Linked DNA regions of Saccharomyces cerevisiae S288C. Changing the gene in region 1 together with any one later gene gives a genetic interaction. Each region holds a gene or a part of one and is shown on either strand. Other genes may lie near its edges.

Region 1 (5,303 bases):
CATCCTCATTGACAACAGCATACTTATCGTCGTCAAATTTCAGTTTACCGTCATCGGTAATAGTTGCCTCAAATGAGCCACTACCGCTGCCAAGTTTCAAAGTGCCGTTATCACTGTAAACACTCAAGTATTGTAAATCCGAGCCGGAACGGATACTCACCAGGCCGAATTCTTCGGAATCGGCAATGACCATCTTAGCCAAGGCGAATAAAGCGACAGACAAAGCAGTGGAGAATTTCATTATTGTTTTTTGAGACTTTCGTAGTATTTATTAGTTTGTTACGGGATATTTTACTTCAGACAGAAAAAAAATTCAAGGAAGATAGCGAAAGAAAGAAACGTTAAGATCGTCCTTTAAATAATTGAGATTTTGTTTGTTTGCTTTTTTTTTTTCTGCACCACAAATTATCAAAATTAAAAGGTGAAAAAACACTACATTGAACGTGAACCACAGAGCTTATTGTTTGTTGTTTTTTTTGTTTTCTTTTGTGGCACCTTCGAGATGGCTCTCCTGGAGTAAGTTACCGTTGTGGGACAACCCGCACGCACAGACGTAAGCGGACCCGTATTCCAATCGGGCCGAAGGGCCCTTTTCGTTCAGGGAGCTGTGGCTAACGCTATTTTTAGTTATGACGTACGGTGCGGCACCATCTATAACGCGAAGAAGTACTTTTTTTAGCTCTCTTTTTTTGTTTTCGCGGGAGGGGTTTGTTTATTATGATATTTTAACGGGATAGAAGGTCGAGCACACAATGTTTGCCGTCAAGAGGGGTATCTGCTTCTATATTCGTAACTTTCCAGATGTCCGATTTTTTTTTTCATTATTACCTCGAGCTACGATTCGGTACACATACATTCTTATTTTGAAACTTGTTCACCATATCTTTGCAAAAATTAATGAGATTCCAATGTTATGTATGGGTGAAGTATAAGACGTGGTTGCAGCATCCCTTAGTATTTGTCTAGTGGGGTTCTTCACTACTTACTCTTGAAGCATAAAAAAGAAAACAAGGCTAGCTCTAAAGCATCGTAGATGAATCTCATTAAGAAAATTCAGCATGTGCGAAGGAAGGTACAGTTTTAAAGTCGCATCAATGCCCATAATAAAGGGATTAATGGCACTGTGCTAAAATGTGCCAGGTCATGAAAATTTCATAGCGCATTGGCAAGCGACTTTAGCGCGCGCCAACGTGATATTTCTTGTAAGTTCAAATCCATCCGAGGGGCAATTGTAGTGAGGACAAAAGTTCATTGAGTTCTAGATTATTATTTTGTCACACGTCTCCCTTGAATTTGTAAAATATTTTATAAGTGGAAGTAAAGTATAGAAAATGGCAGAAAAAAAAGATCCCACCGTAGCACACCAATATCTTTCCCACTTTCTTTTGAACAGGTAACAGATAACGAAGATGGTAAAAAGATAAAGGGAAGAACGGTCAGCACTTTCGCCTATGTTTTTCACGCCTTGACTCTTTAATCGCAGCTAAGGGCGAAATTCTTTATGCACACTGGTCTGTTGAAACAAGCATGCATGTTTTTTTCACCTTAGGGGCGCAGGAAACATTGTGCATAGCCAAGATCTCAGCAAACTCGAAGAAACCCAGTCTCTAATACATTCATTTCGAGTTCAAATTTTTGACTCATTCGAAGAGAAATCACAGGAACATCGTTAAAGTAAAAAGTGTTTTATTTTTATGGTATCTACCTATTCAAAATAACAAAAATTATTTAAAATTATGTGTAAAAATATATTAACGAAAAGAAAAGAATCAAACACTTACCTAGTAAAACCGAAAATTTTGAAAAAAGCCATATAGATATTATAAAAAATCAGAGATTTCTTATAACAACATAGCAGCAGCAGCTAGAGCACCGGCACCCATACCGACAGCGGCCTTAGCAGCACCATTTTCAGTTTGTTGAGAGATAGTTTCGGTGCTGGATGGAGAAACAGTTTCAACGGTGGAAGATGGGGCAGCAGTGGTGGTAGCTTCGGTGGTAGCAGTGGTAGTAGCTTGGATTTGACCGTCAGTGATTTGAGAAATGGCGGCAGCGGATTCAGCGGCAACAAAGTTAGCCAAAGCGACGAAAGCAACGGAAGCGACAGTAGAGAATTGCATTTTTTTTCTTGTTAGTGTGTAGCGAATGTGATGAAGTTATTTATTCTTGATTATGAGAAGAAAAGAACAAAGATAGGAAAAGGGATGGCAAGAAGAGAATTGAAAATGATGAACAAGAAGCCTGATTTATATACGATTATTGTATCTTATTTTTCAATTTTTTCGTTGTTTTTTTTTTAGAACGTTACATTTCTCTGTTTGGCTTTTGGTCTACGGTTCCCCAAATGCAGTTAAAGAATGGCAATAATACGGAAAGGGAAATGCAAGAAAGAGGAAAAAGGACGGTTCCAGATTTTCTAATGATAAGCGCGAAATTTCCGCAATTTCTAGGGTAGTGGGATGTTCCTATTTACGTTTACCATTCTTGAGAGTGAAAAACTTATTATATGGCCCGTTCCGGCCGTGGTACTGGGTGTTATGGCCCCAAAACGCGCATATTCCACGCCTTTTGGGCCTTGGCCGGGCCCCGCGGAGTGCCTGTGGAATTGCCCTTCGGAGCTAAGGCAGTTCAGTTCGTGTTGTTTACCTCTGCCGAAACTGAGGCCGCCCAGGCCCACTTTCGCTTCTCTTTGGCGTGTTGTGGCGGCGATCGCTGCATTGTTTCAAGTGCCCTGGAGACGTAAAACAGGCGTGGGAAAAGCAATCTTCTGCATAGGTTGCTGCTGCCTAGCATATCAGTGGCGCAGAACGCGGTATTTTGCATACAAGATTATGACAGGAACATGCTTCATGACAGACTTGGCGCCCTAACATCCGCATCGGTGGAGGCAATGTAATACTGTGATACTATGTGGTTGTTTGCCATTAGTTGCACATTGCAATAAAAGGGTCGTCAAAAAAAGACGAGCAGCATAGTATCTGTAGCATTATTAATATGTCTAGGGGATGGCGTACGTTATGCTTCTCAGACGGTTTTCTAAGAAAAGCTTTGTCCCTTGCGGTGACCGCACAAAATAAAAAGGGGAGGCTAGCAATTCACTCATAGCACCTTGTCTATTAGAAATGGAATGCATACTGATTGTCCTTGCGCTTAATTGTCTATTGTAAATTGTAATCGCATGGTCATCTTTTAGTAGCATCTCTATTACTTCGTATTATGGTCAGTAAATGATTGACCAAGTGCAAGCGGAATCTTTCGTTGCTGGACTCAATTGGTAATGTCTATATACACTATTGCAAAGTAGTTAAGCCTTGCCATTTTCATTTCTCTCTTACTTTTTAGACCAAATATTTAGCTATTTACTTTGACCGATTTTGCTCATTTTTCGGGTCATGGCATAATGAATAAAAACAACAATTGGTTAACAAAACGATAAAGGGCAATTGACGCTAAGAATAGAAACTTTTAAATACCGTTTGTACGTATGTAAACATAGGTTCCAGATGCATGCTCGAAATACATAATAAACTTACACGGGCGGCACGACTTTACTTAGTACGTTTTTCACTACGAGAGATTCCAGGAAAAGGGGATTCTCAAACTCATTAACCTCCTCACACTTAATCTTCGCAAGTTTCTCTAGCATTTCGTCCACCAAGTTGGGGTCGCTACCGTACAATAAGGAACTATCCATGGAGGAACGCTGAACCAATTCCAAGTGCATGGGGAAGTACCACCTGGACGCCTCTTTGACATGTGAAGGTGACACAAACATCTTGCCGCTATGTAGACCAATTAATCTAGACAATAACACCACGTCGTCCAATGAATTTGTATATACCCCGCCGGCTTTGGCGTTATACGTCAATCTATGCGTTCGCAAATGGACCATGATATCGAGAATATACCGTCTTACAGTGGACCCCACAAATACATCGTTCAGATTTGCCTCTTCATTTAATATGATCGACCTCTTGCTCTCTGGCTCCTGCTTCTCTTCCTCAGCCATACCAATGCTATTATTGGCTCTTGTATTAATGCTAGACTCAGTTGAACTTTCAAAATCCAAATATGGGGGTGCACATGCAAACCAGAATTTGTGTTTGAGCCAAGCGCCCATACGGAAAGACGTGGGCAGGAAGATGCGAGTTTTGGGAGCTGGTTTACCTGCTTCATCCCCATCCTTAGCGGCGCCTGAAGGCTGCACGGGATTATTCCAATGAACCACTCCTATAAATATACGTGTTGACTGTGCCTTCTCAATCGCCACTGTGCAATCTCTCATAATTTTTACTAATTTCGCTTGGTCTGGCTGTAAAAGAGAATTTATGTCTGGAATGATAACAATCTCAAATTCCTTAACATGTGTAGTTGCTAACGAGTCCAAGCTTGCAGTTGTTGAGTTCAGAACCGTGACCTTTATTCCTCCGCCCGGATAAGCGTCATTGATTGCCCTCTTCAGTTGTATATCACAAGTACTTGGCATCGAAGAGGCTAATTTTTCCTTTGAGACGCTGTCTCTATACATACATAGAAAGCTCTTTTTAGCTGTAACAGAAAACTTCAAACATGTCTGAAAATCCGGCAGATTATGATCGCCCATTCCTATTTTTGCCACATCCAATCAATAATTTTGCAGCTCCGATTTTGCAGGTGTTGCTGTTCAATGGAAGTAATCGTTGTTATAAAGGAGCACATCACCAAGTCCTCTAAGGCTTAAAGGTTTGTCGTTATGCACGTAAAAGATGAAATTTTTTTATGGCTAGATGAGCTCATCGCGATTTGAAGAAAAAGAGTAAAGAAAACAATGCTAAGAAACTACAATAAGAGCAAGTTGCATATCATCGAATAATACTAGTGGGGTTTTCTAGTTCGTTACAGCCAACAACAGACAAAAGATATGGCTAAACTTGTACATGATGTTCAGAAAAAGCAGCATAGAGAACGTTCTCAGCTAACTAGCCGTTCCAGATATGGGTTTTTAGAAAAGCATAAAGACTATGTGAAACGTGCTCAAGACTTCCACAGGAAGCAGTCCACTTTGAAAGTCCTCAGAGAAAAAGCAAAAGAGAGAAATCCAGATGAATACTACCATGCTATGCATTCAAGGAAGACAGATGCAAAAGGACTGCTGATCAGCTCACGTCACGGTGACGAAGAAGACGAATCGCTTTCCATGGATCAAGTTAAATTACTCAAAACGCAAGATAGTAATTATGTGAGGACGCTGAGGCAAATAGAGCTGAAAAAGCTGGAGAAAGGAGCGAAACAGTTGATGTTCAAAAGCAGTGGGAATCATACAA
Region 2 (4,555 bases), on another chromosome or scaffold:
TTCGGGATTGGAGCTTCCATCGCAAGACTATACAAACGTTGAAGAAAAAGAAAGTAGCCCGAAAACTGACTTTCCATTAATTACAAAGGAACATGTAAACACGAAAACTGACAGCAATATTCTCGATTATCCCACCATAGGCGATTTAGTTTCCTCAGTAGAGAAATTATGTGTCTTGAAAGAATTGAAGATAGCATTTCCAGAAGTAGATGATACATTAATTAAAGCCATTTTAATTGCCTCCCAAGGGGTTTTGGAGCCGGCATTCAATTCTTTACTCTACTACTCAAGTCCGGAGGAAAACACTGACTTTGCATTACCAATGAAGCCGATAAGTGTGGAAGACTATAGTAAAATAAATGTGTCTGAGATTTTGCAACGTGAAATATTCGATGATATTGAAGACGAATTTTCTGGTCAAGGAATAAATGGCTCCATGGTAATTTCAAAAATTGAATCAGAACTAAGTTCTTTGGCCGAACACATTGGCAACATTAGCACCCCCGGATCGAATAGAGAAGTCGCCGAATCGACTAGGAACGTGGCTGTTGCAGAGGGCCATAATACAATTTTATCAAACGAAGATAGTATACTCAAGGGAAAAGAGAAGGGAAAAGAGGAGGAAAAGGAGAAGGGAGAAGAAAAGGGAGTTAACAGCTTAAAAGGCGCCGCTGTGAAAGTTGTTGCGAAGTCATTGAAGAATAATCGCATTCCCGTCACTGTGAAGAGAAATGAGCCTTCAAACAATTTATTTGACGTTTTAAACTGCGACGAAAGCGAGGAAGAAGAAGAGCAAGATGTCGAAACCAATACGTCGAATCAAGAAAGGAAGAACCAGGGCGGTAATACTGAAGTGCCGGAGGCTCAGCGTGACAGTGCAGATAGGTTACCTGCCAAGGACGACGGTGGATACAAATCTGCCTTTGGCACTGATAGTTGTGGTCTATTTGCAGCTGACGCTAAAGATGAAAAAAAGCAGGTTCATCCATCTAGACAAGAATTAAGTTTTACGTAGTGTATAGCGGTAATGTTTATTAACTCTTTCGGCAAAGTGCGTTTGGGCTCGCAATGAACAGACACCACCATTGCTTCTTCTGCGCTTATTTGCCTTTGTTGTATATCTAGTTCTCAAAATGGAGTCATTCATCAGTCGATGTGTGGGCGGAAATGACGTTCATCTAGCAATGGCACACTAGTTTTTACTCAACAATTCAAACTCAATGGAAAGCCAGGAAGTTAGCGCCGGGAAACTTCAGGACAATATAAAAACAGGACTAACGGAAGAAAATAATGTGGGCCTTTTTGAGCAACGCTGACGGTAAGTAGTTTCCTACGATCGTACAATCCCGGAAAATTGTAGTGGTGCAAGAAGGGAAAAGAATGATGGCGAAAAATGCACGCGCGTAAATAATGATTTGTCGAGTCCTATTGACCACAAAACCCGCGGAAACCTAGTTAGCCCAAAAGGAAATGGATAGCATATGAAAAACGAAACGAAACGTCCTTTTGCACGGCAGAAAGAGCTTAGTAGGACCCGGGACAAATGCAAGTTAGATTCCTTGATTCCCGAATGCTCGGTCTTGCGTTTCGCCGTGGCTGCATGGAAGGTCATCGTACGGGTACGGGCAGTCTGGCTGAGTGGTGCCGCCAAAGTGCAATAGCTGTCAGTAGGGCGTGAGGAATGTAAAAGGCAAGAAAACATGTACGAGGGAAGAGAAGGGGGCAAAAGAAAGATAATAGGAACGGTGTAGATGAACTAGAAAAGGTTCAAGAGATGATAAACGTGAAGGGAGTGTCATATCTACCGACATAAAGATAGAGATCTTTTTTTTTCCTTTATTTTTTTTTTTGATTTTTTTTTTTGATTTTCTTGATATTAGTTTTTAGAAGTCCTTTGACGGGGCAGCCGGAGAATATATACCAACGGCATTCTATTGTCTTTTTTTCTTCCTTCCTTGCCAGGCATCTGCATCCATTATTGCCTTTAGTTACAATGTTTTTTTTCCCGAAGCTTAGAAAACTTATAGGTTCAACTGTGATCGATCACGATACCAAGAACTCATCAGGAAAGGAAGAGATCATGTCAAATAGCCGATTAGCACTTGTTATTATCAACCACGCCTTTGATAAGGTACTATCTTTGACGTGGCACTGCGGGATATTATCCGAAATAAGATCAGGACTGATGTTAATGTTTGGCATTTTCCAGTTGATGTGCTCTTTGGGTGTCATCGTATTGCTGTTGCCTATTATCATACTGGACGCGATCGATCTATTCCTCTACATGTGCAGGTTGCTTGATTACGGTTGCAAGTTATTCCACTACAATAGATCATCATTACCGGTGGCAGATGGAAAAGAAAAGACCAGTGGTCCCATAAGCGGAAAGGAGGAAATAGTTATTGATGAGGAGATAATTAATATGCTAAATGAATCCTCAGAATCATTGATCAATCATACTACAGCTGGTCTGGAATATGATATTAGTTCAGGTAGTGTTAACAAAAGTAGGCGTTTGAATTCAACTAGTACAGTTACATTTGTGAAGCAGAATAAACTTGTTAATGAAAGGAGGGAAGACGCCTACTACGAGGAAGAGGATGATGATTTCCTATCAAATCCGAATTATGATAAGATATCATTGATCGAAAAATCATTCACGAGTCGTTTTGAAGTGGCTTGTGAGCAGAAAGCTGCTTAAATTGATAATCAAGGTCAAGGCAACGCAACGCCACTGCTAAGAACACTTATTGCTACAGAAAGGAAACTAAAAATAATTATAAGGCTAGAGAGAAATAAAAACAAAATAAGAGAGATAATATGGGTAAGGGTCTGCCACCCATCTGATAAAAGGCTGTTCTATCTTTTGGAACTCTACAACACAGGTAAACGGATGATACTGGCTATATTTATATAGATAAACAAACTTGCAGGACAGATAGTTAAGCGTCTATATCATGTGTATTTTAAGCGAAGAAAAAAGTACAAAAATGATAAAAGGCAAAAAAGATGAGAAGTTTTTTTTGTGATAAAATTAATTATTAAAAAATACACACGTAGTTAAAATTAACAGCGGGGGAGGAAACCTTAAGAGAAAGAGAAACAAAAAAAAAGAAAGGAAACAAATAAAAATGAGGGTGACCCGAACATGTTGATACCGTTTCCTAATACTGCTTCCTTATTTCATTTGATAGTTACTTTCGTTTATTGAATGAGCTTAATCTTGTAGGACAATGTACAAGGCATATAGCATACCTGGGAACCAAGCCAAAATGGTCAAAATGATATCCACTATACAGTCAGTACCCCACCCACGGGCTAGAAAAACGGCGACTGGTGGTAAGAAAAGGGATAATATAATGTTAATGATCTTGGCAGAATCCATTGTTGTATTGTGCTGTGCTGTTTAGTTCAAAATGTATAATCAATTGTATTATACTGGCGAAAAACAACAACCGATAGTAAATTTTCTTCTTTTTTTCCTTTCCCTCTTCCAAAACAAAAACACTCACTTCCTCTTTTGTATTTATAGAGGCGCCCATCGCAAAATAACCAGGACCCCCTTTTGAGGGCGTGGTTAAAGGGCACCCAGAGCCCACACCCATTGCATCTTCCGCTATTAGGGGACTGCGGAAGTGAGGGGAGCAGTAAATAGTGATCTTTGTAATTTTCTGCAAAATCCCTCTCGCTGTCTCGGGTTTTTCGATTCAGAGGACCTTCCCCCCCCCATGTTCCGAGATCGGTTTTGGTGGTTAGAAGGCCGGAGGAAAGACATTTACCGCTTGCGCGCGGCTTCTTCTGTATGCTGTGCTCAACTACCAAGAGAAGGATTACGCGCACGGATACGTTGGATGTCTGCGATTGGTGATGCTAAGAACTAAAGGTATTTCGTCATCGTATGGTTTGATCTTCGCTACCCTTGACTCTTTACTGCGATAACGGTACCACGTTCCCATAAAATTCTTATTACTAAATCTCTATAAAGCTGCAACAGCTAGTTTGTATATATAAATCATTGGCGCTTCTTCCTCAATTCCTTGGGAATTTGGAGCTCCTCTATTAAAACTGATGTCCATGGGATAGTATTGATACAATCGAAGAGTCTCCAAAAAAACCATCGGGAAGGTTTCTTTTTAGTATCTTCAGGATACTGAATCCGGCTGCCAATCCAATCCTAATCTTTGGTAAACTTGTGCCTGACATTGCGACCATATCGTAGCCTTTTCTTCTTTAGATAAGCTGACTTTGTTTTTTCCCTGTTGATTTGTTGCGGCGCTTGATCTCATCATCAATTCATCAAGGTTATTATTGGGGTTTTTCAACTGAATGTTCTTCAATAAAGCCTTTTTCAGAAGCGATTTTGTTTCTGTGCTGTTTTTCCGCGGTATTATGCTTGGTGGGGGCATGTCCGGTCTTTTTAAGTTGGACTGTTGTAACTTCCATTTCTTATATTCGGAGCATCTTTGTTTGAAATCAAACCTGCATTGTGCCTCTACTGCTATATTTAAGAGGTAATTTTCGATGATATTTCTCCATTCCGGTTTCGACAAATTCA
Region 3 (4,728 bases), on another chromosome or scaffold:
ATCGTGTCGTGTGTTCGACATTAGATACAGTATGAAGGAACTAATGTGTGTAAGAGATGAAACGGATTATATGACACTAGAATGGCACCCAATAAATGAATCTATGTTCACTCTGGCGTGCTATGACGGCTCGCTAAAGCATTTTGATCTTTTACAAAATCTAAACGAACCTATTTTGACTATTCCATACGCCCATGATAAGTGTATCACCTCGTTATCATATAATCCAGTAGGACATATATTTGCCACAGCAGCTAAGGATAGAACCATAAGATTTTGGACTAGAGCGAGGCCAATTGATCCTAATGCATATGATGATCCAACTTATAACAATAAGAAGATAAATGGATGGTTTTTTGGCATCAATAACGACATCAATGCTGTGAGAGAGAAGAGTGAATTCGGTGCGGCCCCGCCACCACCAGCTACACTTGAACCACATGCGTTACCAAACATGAATGGATTCATCAACAAGAAACCGCGTCAAGAAATCCCAGGCATCGATTCAAACATCAAGAGTTCCACATTGCCAGGTTTAAGCATATAAAAGTGCGCTTTGACGAGATTTTAGGATACATAAATAAAAAGACTATATAACATATTATTTGTGATAATATCTCTCATTTCTGGGGAATGTACCCCACAGGCACCACTGTTTACTTTTGTCGCTGATATCTTCATAGAATTTTTCTTTATTCTTTGGGGTATTCTTCTCGGTGTAATATTCAATGAAAAATAAATATCGCCAGTTTCTATCATGTTCGTCCAAATGGAATGGTCTAGAGTTTATAGAACACATGTTGAGTGAATGGATTTTTAGTATGTTCAAAACATCTACCAAAGAACCAGGGTCATCTTGACGAGTAGTAAAGGTGAGTAGGTTAACCCGTAGTAATCCAGTGTCTTCTACTTCATTGTCGCCTGCGTTCTCCCTTCTCTTCAATACTAAAAATCTTGTTGTATTTCCTAGCTTATCATTTATCGAATGTTCAATGATGTACGCCTTATGCAATTGGGCAGCTGTTTCACTAGCAATGGCTAAATGCAGAATGTTGTCGCAATCGGCCGTTGATGACCGAATGCATTGGTTCACTGATTCAGATGTGGAAGAACAATCCAATCTTATAAAGGTGACCTGCGGAAATTTTTCTGCCATGGACCTTAAGTAACATTCAACCTGGCCCCATACTTGCGGATGTGAGTGTATTATGACTTCTTCAAAATTTCCAAGGGATGCAATACCATTTGGTAGTTGGATTGGGCTGATTAGACAATGGGTAATGGGTACATATTGCTCCGCTATAACTTCTATATCTGGTGTAATTCTATTAGTATCTGCTGGAGCAGGTAAGGATAGGGCTTTTTTGATCATCCTATCACGCAAGAGATCATAGGAAAAAACTACTTGTCCATTGGTGGAATTTTCCAACGGTACCACTGAATAATCTATACTAGTGTCGTTCTCCAATTGGTTAAAACATTGGGGGATAGAGGCTGCTGGGAGGTACTCAACATCAGATGTTGATTGAAATTGTTGTAATGCAGCTTGATGGGAATACGTACCTTTGGGACCCAGAAAAAGAACCCTCAAAGTCTTGCTGGCCATAATTGAAGGATGAATGCGGAAATATAATGAAGTTGCTTTTCGTACTTTTTTAGCCTGTTCTTTCTGCGTATTATATTCATCTACTAAAATTTTTATTTTCATTTTTCATTATGAAAATACAAGAGTCATGCTGATAACTGTGTAAAGAAACTGTACGCTTGTCGCAGATGATGTAGTACGTATTTTATTTACAGGTGTCATTAATATATATATATATATATATATACGTATACGGAAGTAATTCTTCGTTAATTTTCCATGGACTGTGATAGCGAAATCAATTTCTCGACGGTGAATCCCGGAGAGGCCTTAGAGAAATCTCTTAACAACTGCACTCTCTGTTTAGCAACTGGAGTTTCTTCACCCATTGCACCATAAAACCTTTGCACGTTTAGCAATAACAGCTGTGCATCCTGTACATTCACGTTTGTATCCGGTTCAACATGGCCATTCATAAAAACAATTCCCTTATCCTTGACCAAATCAGAATGGAACTGCAAGGTAGTATGTGGCCTTGCAAATTCCTGGTGTAGTTTGTATTCTGCTAGGGAAGTCATCATACAATGTGTTGTTTGGGGTCCGACAAACTGCCATTGGATGTAGTGTAGTTCCATTCCCTGTTCTTCGTTCGGTTTTGCATCCTCAGATTGAACTTGTCTAGGAAGTGGCAACACGAATATAGGGTTATTCCTGGCATTTGCCATCATCTTATCATAAACGGAGACAGGAATCACAGCGCATAATGTATTATCTTTTTGTGCCCATCTTGCTCTCCAAAGAAACTCTACTTCCTGTTTCGATAAGTCCTTCAGTTTTCCAACATCCAAAAAAGAGTCCAATGTTTTGAAGGGAACTTTAGGAGCACTTGGATCGAGAGGACTTCTTGATTTCGTCATCAAATGCTTGGAGTTGTTATTTTCCATTTGAGTTTTTTGTTGGTAATCCTCTAGTTCTTTCAGGGGGTCGATTTTATTAAATTCCCGCTTCTTAGACTCTATAGTCTCTTTCAAATGATTTTTCAACTCTTCTATGCTGTTAAAACCTTGTTTTTGAGCCTCTTCCAAAAGTTTCTTTCTATACTTCTGCTCTGGGCTGGAAGAATAAAAACGAAAAACAGGAACTGTTCCAATTGCCTTGTTAAAAATGGGCGACAGCTGATTAGAAATATGGATTCTAGTGCCGATTTTTCTGGTTAGTCTCCACATAGTTATTCTTAAATCTCTTTTGTTCTCTATTTTCAAGTCTTGATAAGTTCTTCACATCCTTCGATTACGGCGTCAAAATAAGCGTTATTTCCATTCGGGTGAGTTGAACCATTGATAACAACATGGTTTAACGATACTTTGAAAGGTTTAGGCGGAGCCAACCATAATGGATGAATCGGTGGATCCTGTGGAGCTGCTTCTACGACTACTGATACGGCACAAACCTCATCTGAAACCATATGCCTACAGACAAGATAGCTGGCAAAGGGTGCTCGATGAGTACAACAGACAGACTGGGTCAAGATATAGACAATCAAGGACGTTAAAAACCAAATTTCGTCGACTGAAGGACCTCTTCAGCGCAGATCGAGCCCAATTCTCTCCTTCCCAGTTGAAGCTGATGGGAGCACTCTTGGACGAAGCACCAGAACATCCAAGACCAAGAACTAAATTCGGAAATGAATCATCTTCATCCTTATCATCATCTTCTTTCATTAAAAGTCATCCGGGGCCTGATCCGTTTCAACAATTATCATCCGCTGAACATCCGAATAACCACAGCTCCGACGATGAGCATTCAGGCTCACAACCGCTGCCCCTGGATTCAATAACGATTGGAATTCCGCCTACTCTTCACACAATCCCCATGATTCTGTCTAAGGATAACGACGTCGGGAAAGTCATCAAAAGCCCTAAGATAAACAAGGGTACAAATAGGTTCAGCGAGACAGTACTGCCTCCACAAATGGCTGCTGAGCAATCGTGGTCGGACTCTAATATGGAATTGGAAATATGTCTAGATTATCTTCACAACGAACTCGAGGTGATAAAGAAAAGGCAAGAAGATTTTGAGTGTAAAGTTTTAAACAAGCTCAACATAATTGAGGCTCTCCTTTCACAGATGAGACCACCCAGCCAAGGAGATAAAATATAAAAACTTCTATTAGATATGCTTGATTCATGTCCATATGTATCTATTTATACAAACATTACGTAATATACACAGATTATACATGAAAGGTGCTCTTCATATTTGGCTTCTTGCTTCCACTAGCCTATCCCAACCAGGAGAGTCATCCCATCTGCCTTTGCCTTTACTCATTAGAGCTTTGATAGTAGATCTACATTTGTATTTCCAGTCTTTGCAAACCAGACTGCCTGGCCCATATTTACCTTCCATTTCACCAAGTGATTCATAGGCAGCCACCAAATCTTCACAAGCATCCACTGTATCATTCCAAACCTTTTCTTCAACTTCTAAATCAGGATTGTGAGAAATGGCCCTATAAGCCTTCTCGTGGCATTCTAGGGCGGCCCATGGTCTCTTCCTCCAAAGTTCTACTCTTGCGACCAGTCGCCAACATCTTGCACTGGTTGTAATTACCTGAGGTAAAGTGTTACAGATAAACTCAGTACAGCTCTTTTGAAAATAAGATAATTGCTGCGGCTCCTCTGGATATTCACTAGTCACTAATAGTTCTACTAGTTTTTCAATAATTGGTAAGTCGATGGAACCTTCGCCAGATTTGTCCCTCCTAATACTGACTAATTGTTTACATGCAGTTAAGACATCCTCCCACTCATTCAACTTAACAGCAACAAGCATGTAATTCTCCCAAATTTTCCAGTTCTTTTGAGCGTCACATGAAATGGCTCTTTTCAAACAACTATAAGCTTCTTTCAATTTATCCATTTTCGTATATGCAGCGCTCAAATTTGACCATGAAAGAGCATGATAAGGGTCTAATGAAACACATCTGGTAAATGCCTCCGCAGCTATCTGCATTTTACCACATTGTAATCCAACGCAACCATAAAAATACCACGTTTCAAAGCTTAATGGGTATTGCCTTAACGAGTCATTTAAATGTTTCAAGGTAGCAGAGTAATTTGGTTGTGCTCCAGACTTTGGAGGAG

Evidence for each region. A genetic interaction does not mean that the proteins touch.
Region 2: of CWP2 (region 1) and TLD1, extra expression of one rescues a mutant of the other (dosage rescue), as found in Saccharomyces cerevisiae (one study listed by BioGRID).
Region 3: mutations in CWP2 (region 1) and ATP11 together harm fitness more than expected from each alone (negative genetic interaction), as found in Saccharomyces cerevisiae (2 studies listed by BioGRID).

What each region holds. Positions count from the first base shown.
Region 1 is NC_001143.9:256,070-261,372, reverse strand, and holds CWP2 (Cwp2p), read right to left. Parts: upstream 2,121-5,303; coding exon 1,842-2,120; downstream 1-1,841. Other genes in the region: CWP1 (Cwp1p), read right to left, coding at 1-241; YKL096C-B (uncharacterized protein), read left to right, coding at 2,151-2,300; YKL097C (uncharacterized protein), read left to right, coding at 2,460-2,870; MTC2 (Mtc2p), read right to left, coding at 3,530-4,603; rRNA-processing protein UTP11, read left to right, coding at 4,901-5,303. UniProt on the Saccharomyces cerevisiae protein: Component of the cell wall.
Region 2 is NC_001136.10:1,010,259-1,014,813, forward strand, and holds TLD1 (triglyceride-associated lipolysis regulator TLD1), read left to right. Parts: upstream 1-1,993; coding exon 1,994-2,701; downstream 2,702-4,555. Other genes in the region: DON1 (Don1p), read left to right, coding at 1-1,015; YDR274C (uncharacterized protein), read right to left, coding at 1,331-1,702; PMP3 (Pmp3p), read right to left, coding at 3,218-3,385; MTH1 (Mth1p), read right to left, coding at 4,143-4,555.
Region 3 is NC_001146.8:41,470-46,197, forward strand, and holds ATP11 (Atp11p), read right to left. Parts: upstream 2,812-4,728; coding exon 1,855-2,811; downstream 1-1,854. Other genes in the region: cleavage polyadenylation factor subunit PFS2, read left to right, coding at 1-547; prephenate dehydratase PHA2, read right to left, coding at 602-1,606; DAL82 (Dal82p), read left to right, coding at 2,978-3,745; tetratricopeptide repeat-containing protein EMW1, read right to left, coding at 3,839-4,728.